Linked DNA regions of Saccharomyces cerevisiae S288C. The gene in region 3 interacts genetically with the main gene of each other region. Each region holds a gene or a part of one and is shown on either strand. Other genes may lie near its edges.

Region 1 (5,189 bases), on a different chromosome or scaffold from region 3:
TCTTCTCATCCTTGCGTAATTATAATCAAAGTCTATAGTCAAACATACGGTCCTCTAGCCATCTTTGCGTATTGATTCTTTGGTTTGTTTTGGGCAGAAAAATCGCTATATAAGAAAGTATTTCAACACTAGATTAAATTATAGTATAATTTTTAATATACTAGTATTGCCGACAATCTCTGAAATTTCAATACTACCACACAGAACAGGACTTGCCAGGGCCAGTCCGAGCCAGCCTAACTCCAAGACCACGTACTAAGTGAATTGCTACTCCCCCTTACCACGACTACAAAGAGCTACACGGCCTCCCGGCCTAGGCCGCTGCTACTTTCAACTGATGTCACCGAAAAAAATAACGGAAAACGACAGTTCAAGAAAAAAAGAACGCAGGAAGAAAAAGGAAGCAAAATTACAGAATGTACGGCTGTTTAAAAATAAATAGTGGATGCATGGGTGCTTCCACGCGTCTCTGGGAAAAAAAACCAGGATATTTTAATGTTTGTTTATTTGTTTATTTCCTGCTGAACTGAATATTGAAAACATCGAAAAAATGCAGTACCCAGCTCTCCATTAGGACTTTTTACGTAATGACGAAAATGGACAAGCTGCGCAGGAAAGGACTACGAAAAGTATGCTGCCATAATGACAAGATAAGGCGCAACACACGTAATCATGACTAATGGTTGCACAGACGGTAGGCCAGGAGAAGGATTAGATCTCGTGCCGAACGACAGCAAGCTAGCTAGACTATGTTATCTGAGTGTAAACGAAAGCGCAGCAGTCTCTGCAAGAGCACGTGCGACGTGTCTGGTGTGCAAAAACCCTCTAGAGAAACATTGCTAAGGTTTACCGATGCAGGAAATCTTTAGTTCTAAAAGATGAAAGTCGGAAAAGCCAAAAAGAAACCGGAAATCTTCTCTGCGCATTGTTCTGTGGCCACGGCCTTCCTGGACCCGTCCTTCTTTTACCCGAACTTTGTCGCCCAAAAGGCATCTCATTATAATGACAAAACTGGATCTGCAAATATTTGGACATATATCTCCAGAACGGGCTCACTTCTCCTCTTCACCCAGGTGGTATATAGGAAGAGTAAGTGGACGCATCAGTCCGCGACATTTGCGGACTGTATATATTGCCAGTCAGGGCAGTCGCCAAGTGTGTCTCTTTCGTGTAGCGACGCACGTCAGACATGGATGCAACATCGAGGATGGAGCAGCCTGATGTCTTTGTAAGCAAACTCTACCACCTGCTGCAGGGGAACGCTTACTCGAACATAATACAATGGTCGACTGATGGCAGCAAGCTCGTCATTTGGAATCCGGACCAGTTCACCAAAGTCATCCTAGAGCGATTTTTTGGTATTCACACCTTTGCAGCATTCGTTAAGCAATTGAGCAAATATAACTTCCAGAAGGCGGGCCGCCCGGACTGCGTGGAGTTTTCCAACATTCATTTTCAAAAAGATAACATTAATAGCCTCTCACTGGTTAAAGCTCATCAGTCTGCCGCCACTCCCAATGTCGCCGCCGTCAATAATATGAATAAGCAGTGTACTTTTCACTGGGACCCTTTCAAAGTGAACTCCATTCTAAGCAAGGCCATCGGCAAGCCTTCCTTCGAGAAATTAGTGAAAAATGTTGACAGGCTTCAGGGCAATCTTGATGAGCTTAAGTCGACAAACGCAGATAGTCTGCGTATTATAAGGGAAATTAACGCCAGCTTACAGACAATCTCCTACCACCAGTTTCACGCCTACCAAACCGCTAACTTCCTTCAAGAAAATTTTGAAGCCATCAAAAAGGTTGTATGCCCGGACTCTTGTCTACAACACCAGCAACGCCAACCAAAGCGCCCCAAACGCTACTCGTTGCTGTTACTAATACCAAACGCATCCGAATTGTCAGAAACACCTTTGATGCGCTTCGCCGGCGTGTTCGAATTTATGAACTGCTCTTTGGATACGGCCACTCAGTGGCACCCGCAGTTGCATCCCGAGGCATACGACCTTCTTTTCGTCACCGTGTCGCCCAACATGCAACAAGAACATCTCATCTACTTCAAGAGACTGAGAAACCTACTCCCAAGCTTTCCTGTAATAGCCATTATTAACAGACCCGTCTCCCCTCAAGATACCAGCATTGCTCCCTCCAACTACTCTCGCTATTATTTCCACCATTTTTTGCAGTTGGGGTTCAGTGACATCCTAGTTAGCCCCTTCACCCCAACACAACTTATAACGCTCCTTTCCAAACATCTTCGAACGTGAAAACCTGCCTCTGAGGGTCATTCACGACCTAGCATACCACTATATACGTGTACGATTTTTTTTTTCTGTGACCGCACTACACCAAAGTTTAATGTTCCATTGGCCCCGGAACCATTCTTGCAAACGGCGTTCTTTTTCCGCTTTCGGGTGACACTTAATTTAGCTTCTTTTCCCTCTCTGACACCTCTTGTTATCTAATCTGTAGATCCGACTCTTTTTCTTTTTGGTGTCGTTCTTCTATGTCCGTTTTTCTGTCAACAAAAACGGAAATAATAGGTAGAAATTAAGAGCCGTACGTGAGTGAGAGGAGATCCGAAATGAGCTGACAGTATAACTAATATAAGCTTACAAGATATTCGACTATTTCCTGGGAAAAAATTCATTCCTTTGAGAAATCCTTAATAAAAACAGACTAACTACTAAAATTTTAGAAATTTAAGGGAAAGCATCTCCACGAGTTTTAAGAACGATATGACCTTGGCACCCCTAGACGCCTCCAAAGTTAAGATAACTACCACACAACATGCATCTAAGCCAAAACCGAACAGTGAGTTAGTGTTTGGCAAGAGCTTCACGGACCACATGTTAACTGCGGAATGGACAGCTGAAAAAGGGTGGGGTACCCCAGAGATTAAACCTTATCAAAATCTGTCTTTAGACCCTTCCGCGGTGGTTTTCCATTATGCTTTTGAGCTATTCGAAGGGATGAAGGCTTACAGAACGGTGGACAACAAAATTACAATGTTTCGTCCAGATATGAATATGAAGCGCATGAATAAGTCTGCTCAGAGAATCTGTTTGCCAACGTTCGACCCAGAAGAGTTGATTACCCTAATTGGGAAACTGATCCAGCAAGATAAGTGCTTAGTTCCTGAAGGAAAAGGTTACTCTTTATATATCAGGCCTACATTAATCGGCACTACGGCCGGTTTAGGGGTTTCCACGCCTGATAGAGCCTTGCTATATGTCATTTGCTGCCCTGTGGGTCCTTATTACAAAACTGGATTTAAGGCGGTCAGACTGGAAGCCACTGATTATGCCACAAGAGCTTGGCCAGGAGGCTGTGGTGACAAGAAACTAGGTGCAAACTACGCCCCCTGCGTCCTGCCACAATTGCAAGCTGCTTCAAGGGGTTACCAACAAAATTTATGGCTATTTGGTCCAAATAACAACATTACTGAAGTCGGCACCATGAATGCTTTTTTCGTGTTTAAAGATAGTAAAACGGGCAAGAAGGAACTAGTTACTGCTCCACTAGACGGTACCATTTTGGAAGGTGTTACTAGGGATTCCATTTTAAATCTTGCTAAAGAAAGACTCGAACCAAGTGAATGGACCATTAGTGAACGCTACTTCACTATAGGCGAAGTTACTGAGAGATCCAAGAACGGTGAACTACTTGAAGCCTTTGGTTCTGGTACTGCTGCGATTGTTTCTCCCATTAAGGAAATCGGCTGGAAAGGCGAACAAATTAATATTCCGTTGTTGCCCGGCGAACAAACCGGTCCATTGGCCAAAGAAGTTGCACAATGGATTAATGGAATCCAATATGGCGAGACTGAGCATGGCAATTGGTCAAGGGTTGTTACTGATTTGAACTGAAGTATCGCTATTGCTACGTAAAGTAATTAAAAGTTAAAAAGAATAAAACTAGAGCGTTTTTTCTACTGAGTTAAGGGGTCATGTCAGAATATAACATACCCTTTGACATTGTATATATGAATTCCTGGATTTTGCAGTGATCTGATAAAAAATGTATGTCGAAACCTGCAATTATCCTTTCGTTTTTTTTCTTGTCATCTAGTGCTGGCCTATCGGTATCAAGGACATCTTTTGCGCGGATAGAAAAGGGCCCATACATACCTTAGAAGCAACTCAAGACAATTCATGTACTTTTTAAACCAACTAATATTTCAAGACGTTTCCGTAATGTCGGTGGATAAAAGAGAAGATATGAGCAGATCTTTCCAAAAATGTTTAAACTTGAGATACCCTATCATCCAGGCCCCTATGGCGGGGGTCACGACTATTGAAATGGCCGCTAAGGCTTGTATTGCGGGCGCCATAGCTTCACTACCCCTATCCCACTTAGACTTCAGAAAGGTCAATGATATTGAAAAGCTTAAACTGATGGTTTCACAATTCAGAGATCAAGTAGCCGATGAATCTTTAGAGGGCAATCTCAACCTAAACTTTTTTTGCCATGATATCGTTGATAAACCGACCGATCTTCAAACAGCTAACTGGGCGAAGCTATACAGAAAGTCTATGAATGTGCCGATTGATATGAATGAGATTAAATTCGATAATGGTAATGTATCTTTTAAGGCATTTGAAAAAGAAAATGCTCTTCAAGATTTTTTCCAGTACCTATCAGATGGCTTTAGGCCTAAAATCATTAGTTTCCATTTTGGCCATCCGTCGAAATCTACAATAGAATATTTACAAAAAATTGGAATTCTAATTTTTGTGACTGCCACCTCTGTAAGAGAAGTTCGATTGTTAGCACGTCTCGGCATTAATGGCATAGTGTGTCAAGGCTATGAAGCGGGAGGACATAGAGGAAATTTCTTAGTAAATGACCCCAAAGATGATGAAAACTTATCAACTGTACAATTGGTGAAAAGAACAGTTGATGAACTTGCTGAAATGAAAAATAAAGGTCTTATACATGCTACTCCCTTTGTCATTGCAGCAGGTGGTATAATGGATTCCAAAGATATATCATACATGTTATCACAGCAAGCAGACGCTGTTCAAGTGGGGACTGCTTTTCTTGGTTGCAGTGAATCCAATGCATCAAAAAACTTTTCAAGCCCCTTCACTCGAGAAACAACAACTAAAATGGTTAATATAATATCAGGAAAGCCTGCAAGGACCATCTCTACTCCTTTTATCGAAAAAGTCATTGCTAATTTTCAAG
Region 2 (4,891 bases), on a different chromosome or scaffold from region 3:
AAGAAGGAAGAAAAGGGAAGCGGAGAGAAGAGATTATGACACATACAAACTACTCATTACTCTTTGTTCTTTATTATTCGTTGGACCTTTGTTTCTTAAAGTATAGATAAAAGGTCAAAAAATGTAGTAGTCTTTTTTCACAGAGCGAGAATAAAAAGTTACGGCAAAATTTTGTGGGCAGTTGGTATCTTAACGGCCAAGAAAAGAGAGAGAGTGAAGAGCAACGATGTCTGCAAACGGCAAGATCTCTGTTCCCGAGGCGGTGGTCAATTGGCTGTTCAAAGTCATTCAACCCATTTATAACGACGGAAGAACAACTTTCCACGATTCTTTAGCGCTGCTGGACAATTTTCACAGTTTAAGGCCAAGAACAAGGGTATTTACGCACTCTGACGGCACTCCACAACTACTGTTGTCCATATATGGTACCATTAGTACTGGTGAGGATGGTTCATCTCCTCACAGTATTCCTGTGATCATGTGGGTACCCAGTATGTACCCGGTAAAACCTCCCTTTATAAGTATAAACTTGGAAAATTTCGACATGAACACCATCAGTAGTTCCTTGCCCATTCAAGAATACATCGACTCCAATGGGTGGATTGCGCTGCCCATACTCCACTGCTGGGATCCTGCCGCGATGAACCTTATAATGGTCGTACAAGAATTAATGAGTCTCTTACACGAGCCGCCACAAGATCAGGCGCCCAGTCTACCCCCTAAGCCCAATACGCAGCTCCAGCAGGAGCAGAATACTCCCCCACTGCCCCCAAAGCCCAAGTCTCCACACCTAAAACCGCCATTGCCTCCACCTCCACCACCTCAACCGGCATCTAACGCACTCGACCTTATGGACATGGACAACACGGATATCTCCCCAACCAACCATCATGAAATGCTACAAAATCTACAAACCGTAGTCAATGAGTTATACAGAGAGGATGTGGACTATGTAGCGGACAAGATACTGACGAGACAGACCGTCATGCAAGAATCAATTGCCAGATTCCATGAAATAATCGCCATCGACAAGAACCATTTACGAGCCGTTGAGCAGGCTATTGAGCAGACCATGCACTCGCTAAACGCACAGATAGACGTCCTGACCGCAAATAGGGCCAAAGTCCAACAGTTTAGCTCAACTTCGCATGTGGATGACGAGGACGTGAACTCCATAGCAGTGGCCAAAACAGATGGACTCAATCAACTATACAACCTCGTTGCCCAGGACTACGCTCTCACGGACACCATTGAGTGCTTATCTAGGATGCTGCACCGTGGCACCATTCCCCTCGATACTTTTGTCAAGCAAGGTCGTGAATTAGCACGCCAGCAATTCCTTGTGCGATGGCACATCCAACGAATCACCTCACCGTTATCGTGACTCACTTTCTTTCGCATCGCCGAAGTGCCATAAAAAATATTTTTTTAACCTTTACCTAACAAGAACGGGGAATGGTATATATGGAAGTACATAGTTCGTATATACAGAATCTTTAGAACATCTGAGCTCACTAACCCAGTCTTTCTAATGCTGAGATCGTTATTGCAAAGCGGCCACCGCAGGGTGGTTGCTTCTTCATGTGCTACCATGGTGCGTTGCAGTTCCTCGTCGACCTCCGCGTTGGCGTACAAGCAGATGCACAGACACGCAACAAGACCTCCCTTGCCCACACTAGACACTCCTTCCTGGAATGCCAACAGTGCCGTTTCATCCATCATTTACGAAACACCAGCGCCTTCTCGTCAACCAAGAAAACAGCATGTCTTGAACTGTTTGGTGCAAAACGAACCCGGTGTCTTGTCCAGAGTCTCGGGTACGTTAGCTGCCAGAGGCTTTAACATCGATTCGTTGGTCGTGTGCAACACCGAGGTCAAAGACCTAAGTAGAATGACCATTGTTTTGCAAGGGCAAGATGGCGTAGTCGAACAAGCACGCAGACAAATCGAAGACTTGGTCCCCGTCTACGCCGTCCTAGACTATACCAATTCTGAGATCATCAAAAGAGAGCTAGTGATGGCCAGAATCTCTCTATTGGGTACTGAATACTTCGAAGACCTACTATTGCACCACCACACTTCCACCAATGCTGGCGCCGCTGACTCCCAAGAATTGGTCGCCGAAATCAGAGAAAAGCAATTCCACCCTGCCAACTTGCCCGCCAGTGAGGTATTAAGGTTGAAGCACGAGCATTTGAACGATATCACCAACTTGACCAACAACTTTGGAGGTCGTGTCGTCGACATCAGCGAAACAAGCTGTATTGTGGAGTTGTCTGCAAAACCCACACGTATCTCTGCCTTCTTGAAGTTGGTCGAGCCATTCGGTGTCCTAGAGTGTGCAAGAAGCGGTATGATGGCATTGCCAAGAACTCCTTTGAAGACAAGCACCGAGGAAGCTGCCGACGAAGACGAAAAGATCAGCGAAATCGTCGACATTTCCCAACTACCACCTGGTTAGGTTAGTCTCTCGGCCTTGCGATCGCCCTCGGGACTCTCCTCTATACATCTATATAACGTATCTATAACCATGAGCCTATTTACTCATAAGTTGCTATGATTGTACGTTTGTACGAGGTGACGCGTTACTAAACTATTTTTTTCTTTTGGTTTTCTGCTTTCCTCTTCGATTTTGCCAGATACGAAAAAGGTTAAAGACACAATACCTTGGTGGCTTCTCTAAGTGGGGGGAGTTTTTCACAGCAAAACACACGGTCACCTTTCTTATTATGGACGGATATTGGGATGTTGTAGTGTCGTCCTTGCAAGACATATACAATGCCAACGAGGTCATTCCCTTTGATGATGAGCTGCAAACAAAAAAACTAAATTTCCTTAATATGTCAAAGGATCAGCTGCAATTGCATCTCAACACTTTCCAAGAACACATGGAAAACGTCAACAGAGTGCACCGAATCCTTGACAATGTACGTTCCAATTTGTCGTTGATGTTGAATCAGTCACGAGAGGAAAAGAGTGAGGAAAATACTGAAGATGCAGAAGAAGGAGAAGGGACACGCATGGCATTGTCGCAGGGCAAGAAAGCTGTGGGGAAAGTTGGCAGATCGTACTGGACCAGCGAATACAACCCAAATGCACCTATTTTGGTGGGCTCAGAGGTTGCCTATAAGCCCAGAAGGGGCAGTGCCGACGGCGAATGGATACAGTGTGAAGTACTCAAAGTCGTAGCAGATGGTACACGATTTGAAGTGAGAGATCCTGAACCTGATGAATTGGGCAACTCAGGCAAGGTGTATAAATGTAATCGGAAAGAACTACTGTTGATCCCGCCAGGCTTTCCCACTAAGAACTACCCGCCAGGTACTAAGGTTCTGGCAAGATATCCTGAAACGACCACTTTTTATCCTGCAATTGTCATCGGAACCAAGAGGGACGGCACTTGCAGGCTTCGATTTGATGGTGAAGAGGAAGTGGACAAAGAGACGGAAGTGACTCGCCGTCTAGTGCTGCCTTCGCCAACGGCTTTGGCAAACCTAGCAAGGAAATAGCAATGGTGGTTAACATTTACTACATATCATAAGATCTTCTCATGGCATTTTGTCATTATTTTGGTATCGTCGGAAGTGATGTATTCACTTGAAGGTGAAAAAAATTGAAAAAAAATGAAAGCTTGGATGAAATCAATTATATTGAGGATTTCCCATTAGAAATAAGCTATGGGCGAAAAGGAAACAAACATCAGCTGGATTTTTTCGCCAAGATGGAGAGAGAGCTAGGGATGTATGGAAATGATAGGAGTAGATCAAGATCACCTGTACGTCGTCGTTTGAGCGACGACAGAGACAGGTACGATGATTATAACGATAGTAGCAGTAATAATGGTAATGGCAGTCGTCGTCAGAGACGCGACCGAGGCTCCCGTTTCAATGATCGGTACGATCAGAGTTATGGTGGCAGCCGCTACCACGATGATAGGAACTGGCCCCCTCGCCGAGGAGGCCGTGGCAGAGGAGGAAGCAGATCATTCAGAGGGGGACGCGGTGGCGGTAGGGGTCGTACTTTAGGTCCAATTGTTGAAAGAGACTTAGAAAGGCAATTTGACGCGACCAAGAGAAATTTTGAAAATAGTATCTTCGTGAGAAACTTGACTTTTGATTGTACCCCTGAAGACCTTAAGGAATTGTTTGGTACAGTGGGCGAAGTTGTGGAGGCTGACATTATCACATCAAAGGGCCATCACCGTGGTATGGGGACTGTGGAATTTACCAAAAACGAATCTGTCCAAGATGCCATATCGAAGTTTGATGGTGCCCTCTTTATGGACCGGAAACTAATGGTAAGACAGGATAATCCTCCTCCTGAAGCTGCCAAGGAATTTTCTAAGAAAGCTACTAGGGAAGAAATAGATAATGGGTTTGAAGTGTTCATCATCAATTTACCGTACTCTATGAATTGGCAATCCTTAAAAGATATGTTTAAAGAATGTGGTCATGTCTTGCGTGCCGATGTAGAATTGGATTTCAACGGATTTTCAAGAGGATTCGGTTCTGTCATTTATCCTACTGAGGATGAAATGATTAGAGCTATCGATACATTCAACGGCATGGAAGTAGAAGGTAGAGTTTTGGAAGTTAGAGAAGGGCGTTTCAACAAGAGAAAGAACAATGATCGTTATAATCAAAGGCGTGAGGACCTTGAAGATACCAGAGGTACTGAACCAGGTCTTGCGCAGGATGCCGCTGTCCACATTGATGAAACTGCAGCAAAATTTACTGAAGGTGTCAATCCAGGAGGGGATAGAAACTGTTTCATTTATTGTAGTAATTTACCATTCTCAACAGCAAGAAGCGATTTATTCGACTTGTTTGGGCCTATCGGCAAAATCAATAACGCGGAATTGAAACCACAGGAAAATGGTCAACCAACTGGT
Region 3 (4,319 bases):
CAGAGCGTTTAGCTGGCTCCTGATGTACCTTTTTTCTAGCTCCTCTTTTTAAGATAGCCATTTCTATAAAGCGGTTAAATTCGTATTGGCCACTGTTCTTATGCTTTATTATAAACTATAACCTTTAAATACATAGTCCAGTTTGTATTTTCCAAGCTTGCAATTTTTGACGGCCCCTTTTCGAGAAATATTTTTGATGATTGACAAAACGAGAAAGAAGTCGTGTCCGACGAGTTAAAACACACCATTTGAATACATATGCTACGTATCCACTTTAGATTTATCAAATACTACCAACTCACTTGAATTGAACTTATTATTCATCTATGACTTAATTTTAGCCGTCATTAGTTTTTTAGAAAAAAATATATAAAGTATATACGAAAAAAATATACATGACTACCGATTTGGTAGAATGTCATATATAAGAAGCACGATTAAATAATAATAAAGTCTGCATTTTTTACTGAAAATGCTTTTGAAATAAATGTTTTTGAAATTCAGTGCTTACCGCCTGTACGCTTATGACGTAATTCAGTCTGTTGTCTTTCAACTTCTGGGTCAAAATTTATGAACTCGTCTAGACCGCTACCACCTGCCACCATTGGCAAAACAGGAACTTTTTTATCAACTTCCACTTCAAGCAAAACTGGGCCCTTGGTAGAAACGAATTCTTTCAACTTAGCGTCCAATTCCTCTTGCTTCTTGACTCTTAAACCTTTTAAACCCATAGCCTCCGCTAGTTTTATGAAATCAGGGTTCAATTGATGTGTGTGGGAATAACGATGTTCGTAGAACAGGGATTGCCATTGAGTAACCATACCTTGCTCTTCATTGTTCAAAATCAAAATCTTCACTGGAGTACCAGCTTGAACGGCAGAACTCAATTCCGTTAGAGTCATGTTAAAGGATGCGTCACCATCAATGTCAATAACCAAAGATTCTGGCTTTGCAACTTGAGCACCGATGGCGGCAGGGAGACCGTAACCCATCGTACCTAAACCACCTGATGTGATGAAAGTATGTGGATTTCTCCATGTCCAGTGTTGAGCAGCCCACATTTGATGTTGCCCCACACCCGTTGTAACAATGACATGTCTTCCTGTGTCGTTGGCAACCTTGGATAGTTTCTTTATAACCGTCTGTGGTTTAATTTTAGATCCTGGAGTCTCCTCCATATAAGCGTATGGGTATTCCTTCTTCCATTTATTTATTTGAGCAAACCATTCAGACCTCTCCTTAACTGGGAAAATCTTTGACATCATTTTGCCCAGATTGGTCGTAGCATCACCTTCCACTGCTATTTGAGTTTGAACAACCTTGTTTATGTTTTTTGGACTAACCTCGAAATGAATAATACCACCTCTACCCTCGGCAGCTGCACGACGAGCTTCTGGAGCGAATTTAGAAATATTACCAGTGACACGGTCGTCGAATCTAGCACCAACTGCAATTATCAAGTCGGCATTTTGCACTGCCAGGTTGGCAGTAGCACAACCGTGCATACCAAGCATATCCAATGATTTTGGATCTTCTTGGTCGAATGAACCTAAACCTTGTAAAGTAGTGGTGACAGGTATTTGAGCACGGTCACTTAATTCTTTTAGTAATCTTGGACCATCTGCATGGTTTAAAATACCAGCACCGACGTATAAGACAGGTTTCTTTGCCAAGTTGATCAAATCTGCTGCTTTATTGATACTTTGCATGACAAATTCATCTTGTGCGCGACTGGTTAATTGGTTTAGTGCGTTTGATGGAAGAGTTGTTTTTGTTGGAATTGGATTTCTTAAGATAGCTGCTGTAACATCCTTTGGTAAATCGACCAAGACTGGTCCCGGTCTACCGCTCGTGGCAATTTCAAAAGCCTCGTTAATACGCAATGGCAATTCTTCCACGGACTTGACCATGACATTCCATTTCGTACAAGATCTAGAAATACCAACGACGTCAGCCTCTTGGAAAGCATCAGTACCGATAGCACTAGTTGGGACTTGCCCTGTAAAGACAACCATTGGAATCCCGTCTGCAAAGGCATCTGCCATTGGAGTAACGACATTGGTGGCACCTGGCCCAGAAGTAACCAAGACAACACCTGGTTTACCAGAAGCTCTGGCGTAGCCTTCTGCCATGTGACCGGCACCTTGTTCGTGTTTTGGAAGAACGAAGTTGAATTTATCACTGTTATGAATGGCATCGTAAACAGGTAGGATAGCACCACCTGGATAACCAAATACAGTATCAACGTTTTGTCTGGACATCATTTCGTTAAATATTTGACCACCAGTTAAACCGACGAAAGAGGTATCCATGTCAGGCTCAGCGCGTAGTTTCTTAGCCAATTTTGAAGGTTCAGCGGGCTGTTCTAATGGATCAACATTGAAACTTGGAGCAGGCTCTGGCCTTTTAGAGGCTGGTAATGGAGACGCACTGTAATAACGGGAAGACGAACTATAAAAGCGCTGCGCGAGAGCTACTGATCTCATGGCAGGTGTGTTGCGGTATGCTATATGTTGAAAGCAACGCTTAATAGCGAAGTTTTTTAGCGTAGATTGTCTGATCATTTGAAAATTGATTCTGTTGTATTTATCTCCTCTTAGCTCAAAGGGTTTAGATTTTGTAAAATACTTTCTATTGTAACAGGGAAAATGTGTGTAATTTCGCTTCAAATGAACTAGTAACTGTGGCTGATGAATTCTTCGGTTTTAGACAATGAAGGAAAAAAACAATACAAATTACGGTGTGACGTAGATCTGAATTATTAATTAGGGATGGTGGAGAAAGGATTAGAAATTTGGAAACTTGATAAGAAAATAAATGATAGCATATATATCAACCAGATAAGAGAAATACAAGTTCATCAAAAAAATATTCTTTTTCATTTTTTTTTTTTTTTTTTTTTTTCAGAGAAATGAATCATCGCTACCGAATAGATGGAAGATTAGAAAAAAAAAGAAAAAATACGAACCTTTTGGCGTGGGGCGCTGATTTTTCCGCGCCGAGATCAGCAACTGAAGCCAAGCCGGTACCGGCAGGCTCCGGCGGCTAGGCGTTTGTCACCTTTCATCCGTGCCGACTGACAGACAATGATACTAAAAGACAGTAATTATGGTATTAGTGGCAAAGTTCTGTTTACATAACTTCTTATTGCTTATATAGGTATGAAAAAAGACATAAGGATGCTATCATATAAAACTAATGGAAACACTGAAAAGCATAATAAATATATAATCATGTTAGAATAAATAGACAACACAAGAAAAGACACTATGAATATCTCCTCCATTTATCTATTTACTTTATTGTCGGGTTCCCCCCTCCTCAAACTTTCGTAAAGTCTTAAAAACTCACCTTGCGACATGTTAGAGATGTCAACATTCTTTGGTATTTCTACTTCTGCGGGTAATCTCCCTTCCTTAACGTCCTCAACATCGGAACTGTCCTGTGATCCTATGGAAGATCTTCTCATGCTCTGCAAGTTCTCTTGCTGATGTGTCCTAGGTTGACGGTACTCTTTCGAAAACATAACCTGCGTTTTACTGTCTCCTGTGTTGTTATGGTTTCCTCCATATACACTTGGATCTGCGTGCTTTTTCTTGTCGTATACTGCGAATGCGTCCCAAAAACTACCCATATTTGATATCTCGATTAGTTGGTTTTATTTATCTTGTTACAGAAGTGGCTACAAAAAAAAATTTTATGGAGTTGCAATAGGAAGGGAGGCTCCTATTTATATACTCACTACAAGATATGGGGGTGATTAGCCAAGCAAGATTGTTATCGCACATCATTACCCCACCCTGCTCCCTCTTATCTCCCTGATTCTGTCACCACTACTTCACATCTAGTACCTTAGAACCCAGTCATAAAAGCGCAAACTGACTGGTGTACTTTCCCGAAATATTGCTTAATTGTGCCTTGTGGAGGCTTTAGCAATTAAGGGAGGCGGCTGATGTCCATCAACCGCCCTGCCAGGAGCCAGATGGCGATGTATGGGGTTTTGGCAAAGCGCAGGGAAGTCACTCTTTTGCGTTGGGGTGACGCCGCCGTCCTCATGATGTGTTAGTTATACGTAAATCATGACTACCAGGCACATCAGTGGACGGCGCTAACACCCTTCATCATTTCTGCTCTGATAATTAAACGTGCCAGATGACTTTTTTTCAAATAGTGATGGATTCTTTTTACAGTTTATCTGGGCTTTATATAGGAGATTATTGCCATCCAGATAAAAATTGTAAGAATGATGATTATCTAAAGTTTAGGTTTTGTCAAAAGTTGGCGCTAAACTAGAAAATACAAAGGATTGAAACTTTGAT
Region 4 (6,201 bases), on a different chromosome or scaffold from region 3:
CTAAAACGCTTTGGCTGTTTGTAATCTCATCTACAAAAATCAACGAATCATCGTCATTATCGCTGTGTTCATCGACGGTGGTCAGTCTTGTGGGAGCCGGTATTTCTTCCAGACTAGTATCTTCGTCTGTATCTACAAAAAGCCTTTTTCTCACAGGTTCCAGGATTTCCTTTCTCGACTCGCCTACCTTTCCGATACTTTTAATCGGCGAAGTATGCTTTCTTAAAAACTCATCCAAGTTATTCTTCTGTGGTAGCCGAGACTTATTCGATTTTTTACCTTTCTTCTCTTTTTCTTTCTGTATAAGTTGCTGTGTCTCATAATATTGAATTACTAATGGATGCGATTGAGGTATCAAGTATTTGGGTAACCAAAGACTATTTGGGTGTTCCATTATATCCATCTGACGTCGTGTGGGACTCTTGCTTCTACTGGGAGAATTACTGCGCTTCAAAGGAGATTGAGAAGAAATGGGTATATTAGGCAAGAATGTTGTATACCGTATTTTAAAACATGGTATTTGGAACTTTCCACCATCTATGTTCATAATTTTTTCTTCGGTAATCCTCATATTACCTTTACCTATATTATCGGACTCATCAATTGATAAAAATTCTCTTAATAGAAACATCTCGTGCATAGAATCATGAAACCACTTGTCGAAGCTAGAAATTTGAGGCAAATTCAAACTTTGTAAAAAATATTTCAGTTCATTGAAATTTAAGTTTCTGTAGTGTCCGTTTCCAGCCATATTTATGTATTTATCACTGAGAACTTCTTCATCAAAATATGGTTGGACAATGGGGTGAAAATAGTGCATGATTGCGACAGTTGATGGCCAGCCTTCAAATGAACCTTGATTCAATAAAACAGGATAATTTCTTCCAAATAGCTCGACAGAATGATCCTTGCAGTATAAATATAATCTTTTTTGAAACAATCTATACCGAGACTTCCTCAGACTTTCTGATGTCAAATCTTCTAAATTGAAATCTTTGAAAATGTCATAAAATTCCATGGAAAAGTTAGGATCTTCGCATTGAGCCAACTGCAAAGATTTGTTTTTACCCAAACCCTTGACTCCACGATTGTAATCGGCACCTAATAGCACGCTGAAAAATAAGAGAGACAGGCGATCAAACTTCTTCCCTGCTACTTTATTAATTTTGGGTAGATCTATAACAGTAACAAAAGATTCTTTACTATCATGATGTCTACTGGGACTGTGGGAAGTTATTGAACTTGGGCCAAAATCATCGTAGAATTTCGAGTAATTTTTCAGGATTTTTTCTCCCCCAAATACGAGAGTATCTGAATCGTTACTTAAAATGAAATCTACAGCCCCAGAAACTTGCAGCCAAACACACTGGGCTTCTCCCTCCCCACATGCGATTACATATGAAATGTTCATCAAGTCTAATAATTTCCGTACAAGACTGATGAACTCAGGGTCAGATGGCGCTAGCAATCCTTTACAATTGCCATAAACTTCATGATTCTTAACATGCTGTTCCCAGCTTGAATAGTACTCTTTCTCATCATCACAAGTAGTAGCGTTCTGTTCGTGGTTAAATTTCCTTTTGAAAGAGGGTTTCATAACTCCGTCAAATACAAGCAAGAATTCGACGTTTAAACTCAGTAGTTCTTTTAATCGAGATATGAAGTTTATCACAGCTTTTCCTGTAGTTGTATAACTTCTGCTACCATAATATTCTTGACTACTGTCGATATCACTATCACGCGGAGAACGGGTAGGACTCCTTGATCTTGATCTAGATCTGGCGCTTATATCTATATTTTGGATAAATCCACACTCAAATAGCCATCCATATGCGTCAATCGCGATTCTTGGAGCTCTTTTTTGCGATTTATTAAAGTCTATGACAAACTTTCTCAACGGAATTCTGGAATCTTGCAGATATGGCTTCAAAAATTCCCATATTTGTGAGACACCCATTTTCTTGTGCAGTATCCAGAATATACAAGTAGGTAAAATGCAATAGAACTGTCATTTCATTGGATGGACCATATACATTATTGTTTATGTGTCAGTCAAAAGCTAGTTAAATTATTCAACTGTGGGCATTATAAGAAAAAGAAAATGCCATTAAAAAAGGGCCGTTTAAAAAAAAAAAAGAAAGAGATAGACAAAAGAAACAGGGGAGATAGAGAAAGAATACCAAATAATAATTAGAGTGATATTACAAATTCCTAATAATATATGTCTACACATAAAAGTAATACAAATAGAACAGCCAGTGTTCAATGCCAATATACTACCATTTCTTTTTTTACAAGTAATTTGATCTGAAAATAGCAAAACAAATAATACCAATGCTCAGGATTGTGGTCAGAGGTAATGAAAATCTATCAATGCAACCGTTCAGTAATTATTAACATAATAAGAATAATGATAATGATAATACGCGGTCATATACCAAATTTTAACCAATCCAATTCGTCAGCAATTGCTGAACTTTCTTTAGAAGATCCTTTTGTGGAATTATCCTCACTGATCTTTCCGCCTGCACTCACATCTGCTTCATATTTTATAGGTGAAGTAGAGTCACTTGATAATCTATTGTTAAATTTGTGATTTGAGATAAACGAATTCGACTCCGAGTTCTGCAATTGTTGTGATAACAATGAGGTATGTGATTTTCTTGAAGAAGGTCTTGAGACACTCGGTGAATCTACAGGAGTATTAAAAATATCAAAATTTGGCTTTTGAGAGACAAAATTTGATGATCTTGAATTTGTTGAAACGCTATTGCTTGAATTCCAATTCTGTCTATTCGAATTCGTGTTTGTGTTGGAATTCACGTCCACTTGTTGCTGTTCGTGCAGTTGTTGCAAAGACGCAGCCATAAACGATGAGGAGTACGATGCATTGCGCGACATCTTTCTTCTTGGTATATTCATTCCTTGACGTTGGAAAGAATTTGATAATAGATTCTGCTGTAGAGGACTATTTGAGTTAAAGTTTGCGGACGATATAATTCTTGGTGAGGATGCGACACTATTTCCTGCACTTACATTATTTGTTGTGTTCATTAGGTTCATGTTCATGTTGAACTGCTGTGAATTAGCGCTATTAGGTGAAGGTTTTGGTAATATCGGAACAACAGATCTGGATGAAGATTTACTGGAACTTGAGGTGTTCGATGAAGTACTACTTCGTCTTGAAGACCTTCTAAAATTAGGAGTAACAGTGTTCGAATTGTGACGCATTAAGTTATTAGAATTCAAATTTGCATTGCTTGCTCCATTAAAATTTGCGTTACTACTATTATACGATTGGCTGTTCATGAGGACCGGGGAGGGGACTGAGTTGAAGTTATAGCCTCCCCTATTTACATTAAGGATATTATTAGTATTACCGATGTTGTCTCTAATGATTTCTTCAGGTATCACTCTAGATAAAGAGTTTTGTTGTAGTGATTTTTTCCTCGATCGTATGGGTTTAGCATTTGTAGTGGTTACTGAAGTTGAGGCAGTTGCAGGTGCACTTGGAGTATTTTGTGCAATGTTTGGGTCCGTTTGTTTGGCTCTCTTCTTTGAAATCCTCTTTTTGATAACGTCCGATTTTAAGGATAATGGCCTCATGGTACCATGTAATTTCTGGAAAAGACCGCAGGCATTGCAAAGAGTATTCCCCTCTGGGCTTCTCCTCCAAAGCGGTGTCTTGAAAGTTTTACAATTGAAACATTGTATCAGAGGTTTTTTATTTTGTCCTGATGGTTCCATATTGGATATACTGGAAGATACTGAGGCAGCTCTTTTGAAATTGGCCAGGGACGTGGACGACATTGGCTTGATAAGTGAGTTTTTTCTTACAGAATTTGTTGTGTTGGATGAAGATAATCCTATCGAATCGCTCTTCTTCAGAAAAGGATGCTGGATATTACTATTGTTGCTATTATTATTATTGGTAATGTTCATAGCGGATGAAGATGAGTTGTTGTTTTGTAGTTTGTAGATGTTGAAGGAATGGTGGGACTGCGCATTAGTATTTGAGTTGTTATTGATAGATGGCTGGTTGATGTTGCTGTTGGACGTGCTGGAATTATACGGGAACAGTGAGGATTTGGAGACGCTGTTGCCGAGGGAACCGTGGTTGTATTGCGGTATGTCGGAAGTAAAGCTGTTAGGAGCACTAATAGTAGCTGAACCGCTCGAGTTGCTGGGCGTCATGTTGAATTGGTCCACGTTAAAGTCCCAAAGTTGTGCAATTTCACCATTTTGTTGGTTGGATGCGGCTATGTCGATGGGCTGAGTTGTGGCAAGTGAATCAAACATCGCAATATCATCATCCATATGATTGGTAGCTGGTGTGGTGTCCTTGACCGTCTTAGTAGTCACGCTGGTCGTGGCAGCTGCTGTAAAAGGAGACACGAAGTCCGTAAAATATAAATCATCGGGCAGTGCCTCCAGCATTGAGTCGAATGTGCCGCCGTTTAATCCACTGGCAAATGCTATATCCTCCTCGTTTTCACCGGTGTTGCCACTACTCTGGCTCCTACTGTCACCAGTTTGTCTCGGCTCTTCATTACTTCGACCATGCACGTCCAGATGACTATTCAGCAGGTCGTACAGCTTCGAATTTTCGGGGTCGTCTTGCATTTGTTTGTTGGTGGGGGAAAAGGGGGCCCTGTGCTCTCTCTCGTCTCTCTTTCTTACACACTCTGTTATTGTGGGATGGGCTACTGCGCTGACATTAGCTTACCACTCTTGAACATCTTTCTCTGTCTTGCAAGATGACTCTTTCCACTCTCTCAGCATTGCCATGTCACTTTCTTTCGGGAACCTGTCCGCCGGGTAATAGAGCAAAAAATGTGAATATATCATATTAAGAATGTTTAAAGGGCCAGGTAGAGATAGAGTACAAGAATGGAAGGTTGAAAAGCTGTAAAGAGATCAAGAAGGTGTGGTAATTATGAGCAAGCATAAGCATGAATGGACGGAATCAGTGGCCAACTCTGGGCCGGCTTCAATCTTATCTTACTGCGCGTCCTCGATTTTGATGACAGTAACGAACAAATTCGTGGTTAACCTGGACAACTTTAACATGAACTTTGTGATGTTGTTTGTACAATCACTGGTGTGCACTGTGACGCTATGTATCCTACGAATTGTAGGCGTTGCTAATTTTTGATCTTTGAACAGGACAGATGTAAAAAACTGGTTTCCAATTTCTTTGCTGCTCGTATTGATGATTTATACGTCGTCAAAGAGCTTACAATACCTTGCCGTGCCCATCTACACAATTTTCAAGAATCTGACGATCATTCTCATTGCTTATGGCGAGGTCCTCTTCTTTGGCGGAAAAGTCACTTCTATGGAGTTGACGTCATTTATTATGATGGTCCTTTCATCTGTAGTGGCCACCTGGGGCGATCAGCAGGCCATTGCAATCAAAGCATCATCTTTGGAGGATCTCGATCAGGAACTTGTTGAGTCAACCATCTTTGTGTTGAATCCGGGGTACCTCTGGATGTTCACCAATTGTATTTCGTCTGCATTGTTCGTTTTGATTATGCGGAAGAGAATTCGGCTGACTAACTTTAAAGACTATGATACTATGTTTTATAACAACGTTCTGGCATTGCCTTTGCTGCTAGTCTTTTCCTTCATTATGGAAGATTGGTCCACAAAGAATTTGTCTGTGAACTTGTCCGCCGACTCACTGGCAGCAATGGTCATCAGTGGGCTCATGTCCGTGGGGATATCGTACTGTTCCGGCTGGTGTGTTCGTGTAACTTCCTCTACAACGTATTCTATGGTTGGTGCTTTGAACAAATTGCCCATAGCGTTGGCGGGATTGGTGTTCTTTGACGCTCCAAAAAACTTTTTGTCCTTCTTTTCTATCTTTCTAGGATTTCTGTCTGGCCTGCTGTACGCTGTGGCTAAACAGAAAAAGATACAACAGCAAAAAGTTCTAGCAGCTACTCTTGAGAAGTAGTACATTCTTCATTTGCTCAAGCAAAATATACATTTATATTCATTTATATGGGGTCTTCTTTGTATTTGTTTTAGGTTATTCCTTTTTTTATGTTACATATTATGTCAGCATCGTTTTATGAAATATATTCATATATAATTTTTCAAGTAAATAGCAATAAAGTGATAAAATTTTGTTAGACGCACAAAAGGGCAGTGTCACAAATGGGAAGCGTGAACTCATCACCGAATGAAGAGTTT

Evidence for each region.
Region 1: of ILV2 (region 3) and BAT2, changing one enhances a phenotype caused by changing the other (phenotypic enhancement), as found in Saccharomyces cerevisiae (3 studies listed by BioGRID, with this or other methods).
Region 2: of ILV2 (region 3) and ILV6, changing one suppresses a phenotype caused by changing the other (phenotypic suppression), as found in Saccharomyces cerevisiae (one study listed by BioGRID).
Region 4: of ILV2 (region 3) and GLN3, changing one enhances a phenotype caused by changing the other (phenotypic enhancement), as found in Saccharomyces cerevisiae (one study listed by BioGRID).

The regions. Positions count from the first base shown.
Region 1 is NC_001142.9:703,007-708,195, forward strand, and holds BAT2 (branched-chain-amino-acid transaminase BAT2), read left to right. Parts: upstream 1-2,737; coding exon 2,738-3,868; downstream 3,869-5,189. Other genes in the region: 40S ribosomal protein eS4 RPS4A, read right to left, coding at 49-62; YJR146W (uncharacterized protein), read left to right, coding at 879-1,232; HMS2 (Hms2p), read left to right, coding at 1,190-2,266; YJR149W (putative nitronate monooxygenase), read left to right, coding at 4,154-5,189. UniProt on the Saccharomyces cerevisiae protein: Cytoplasmic isozyme of branched-chain-amino-acid aminotransferase, which catalyzes the first reaction in the catabolism of the essential branched chain amino acids (BCAAs) leucine, isoleucine, and valine.
Region 2 is NC_001135.5:102,189-107,079, reverse strand, and holds ILV6 (acetolactate synthase regulatory subunit), read left to right. Parts: upstream 1-1,531; coding exon 1,532-2,461; downstream 2,462-4,891. Other genes in the region: VMA9 (H(+)-transporting V0 sector ATPase subunit e), read right to left, coding at 47-57; ubiquitin-binding ESCRT-I subunit protein STP22, read left to right, coding at 227-1,384; SGF29 (Sgf29p), read left to right, coding at 2,730-3,509; GBP2 (single-stranded telomeric DNA-binding/mRNA-binding protein), read left to right, coding at 3,722-4,891. UniProt on the Saccharomyces cerevisiae protein: Regulatory subunit of mitochondrial acetolactate synthase, which catalyzes the first of a series of common steps in the biosynthesis of the branched-chain amino acids.
Region 3 is NC_001145.3:482,329-486,647, reverse strand, and holds ILV2 (acetolactate synthase catalytic subunit), read right to left. Parts: upstream 2,565-4,319; coding exon 501-2,564; downstream 1-500. Other genes in the region: MYO5 (myosin 5), read right to left, coding at 1-61; SPG4 (Spg4p), read right to left, coding at 3,287-3,634. UniProt on the Saccharomyces cerevisiae protein: Catalytic subunit of mitochondrial acetolactate synthase, which catalyzes the first of a series of common steps in the biosynthesis of the branched-chain amino acids.
Region 4 is NC_001137.3:228,217-234,417, reverse strand, and holds GLN3 (nitrogen-responsive transcriptional regulator GLN3), read right to left. Parts: upstream 4,624-6,201; coding exon 2,431-4,623; downstream 1-2,430. Other genes in the region: YEN1 (crossover junction endodeoxyribonuclease), read right to left, coding at 1-1,957; YER039C-A (uncharacterized protein), read left to right, coding at 4,937-5,155; HVG1 (putative GDP-mannose transporter), read left to right, coding at 5,213-5,962; FMP49 (Fmp49p), read right to left, coding at 5,587-5,967; Smc5-Smc6 complex subunit KRE29, read left to right, coding at 6,166-6,201. UniProt on the Saccharomyces cerevisiae protein: Positive nitrogen regulatory protein. Required for the activation of transcription of a number of genes (including the allantoin pathway genes) in response to the replacement of glutamine by glutamate as source of nitrogen.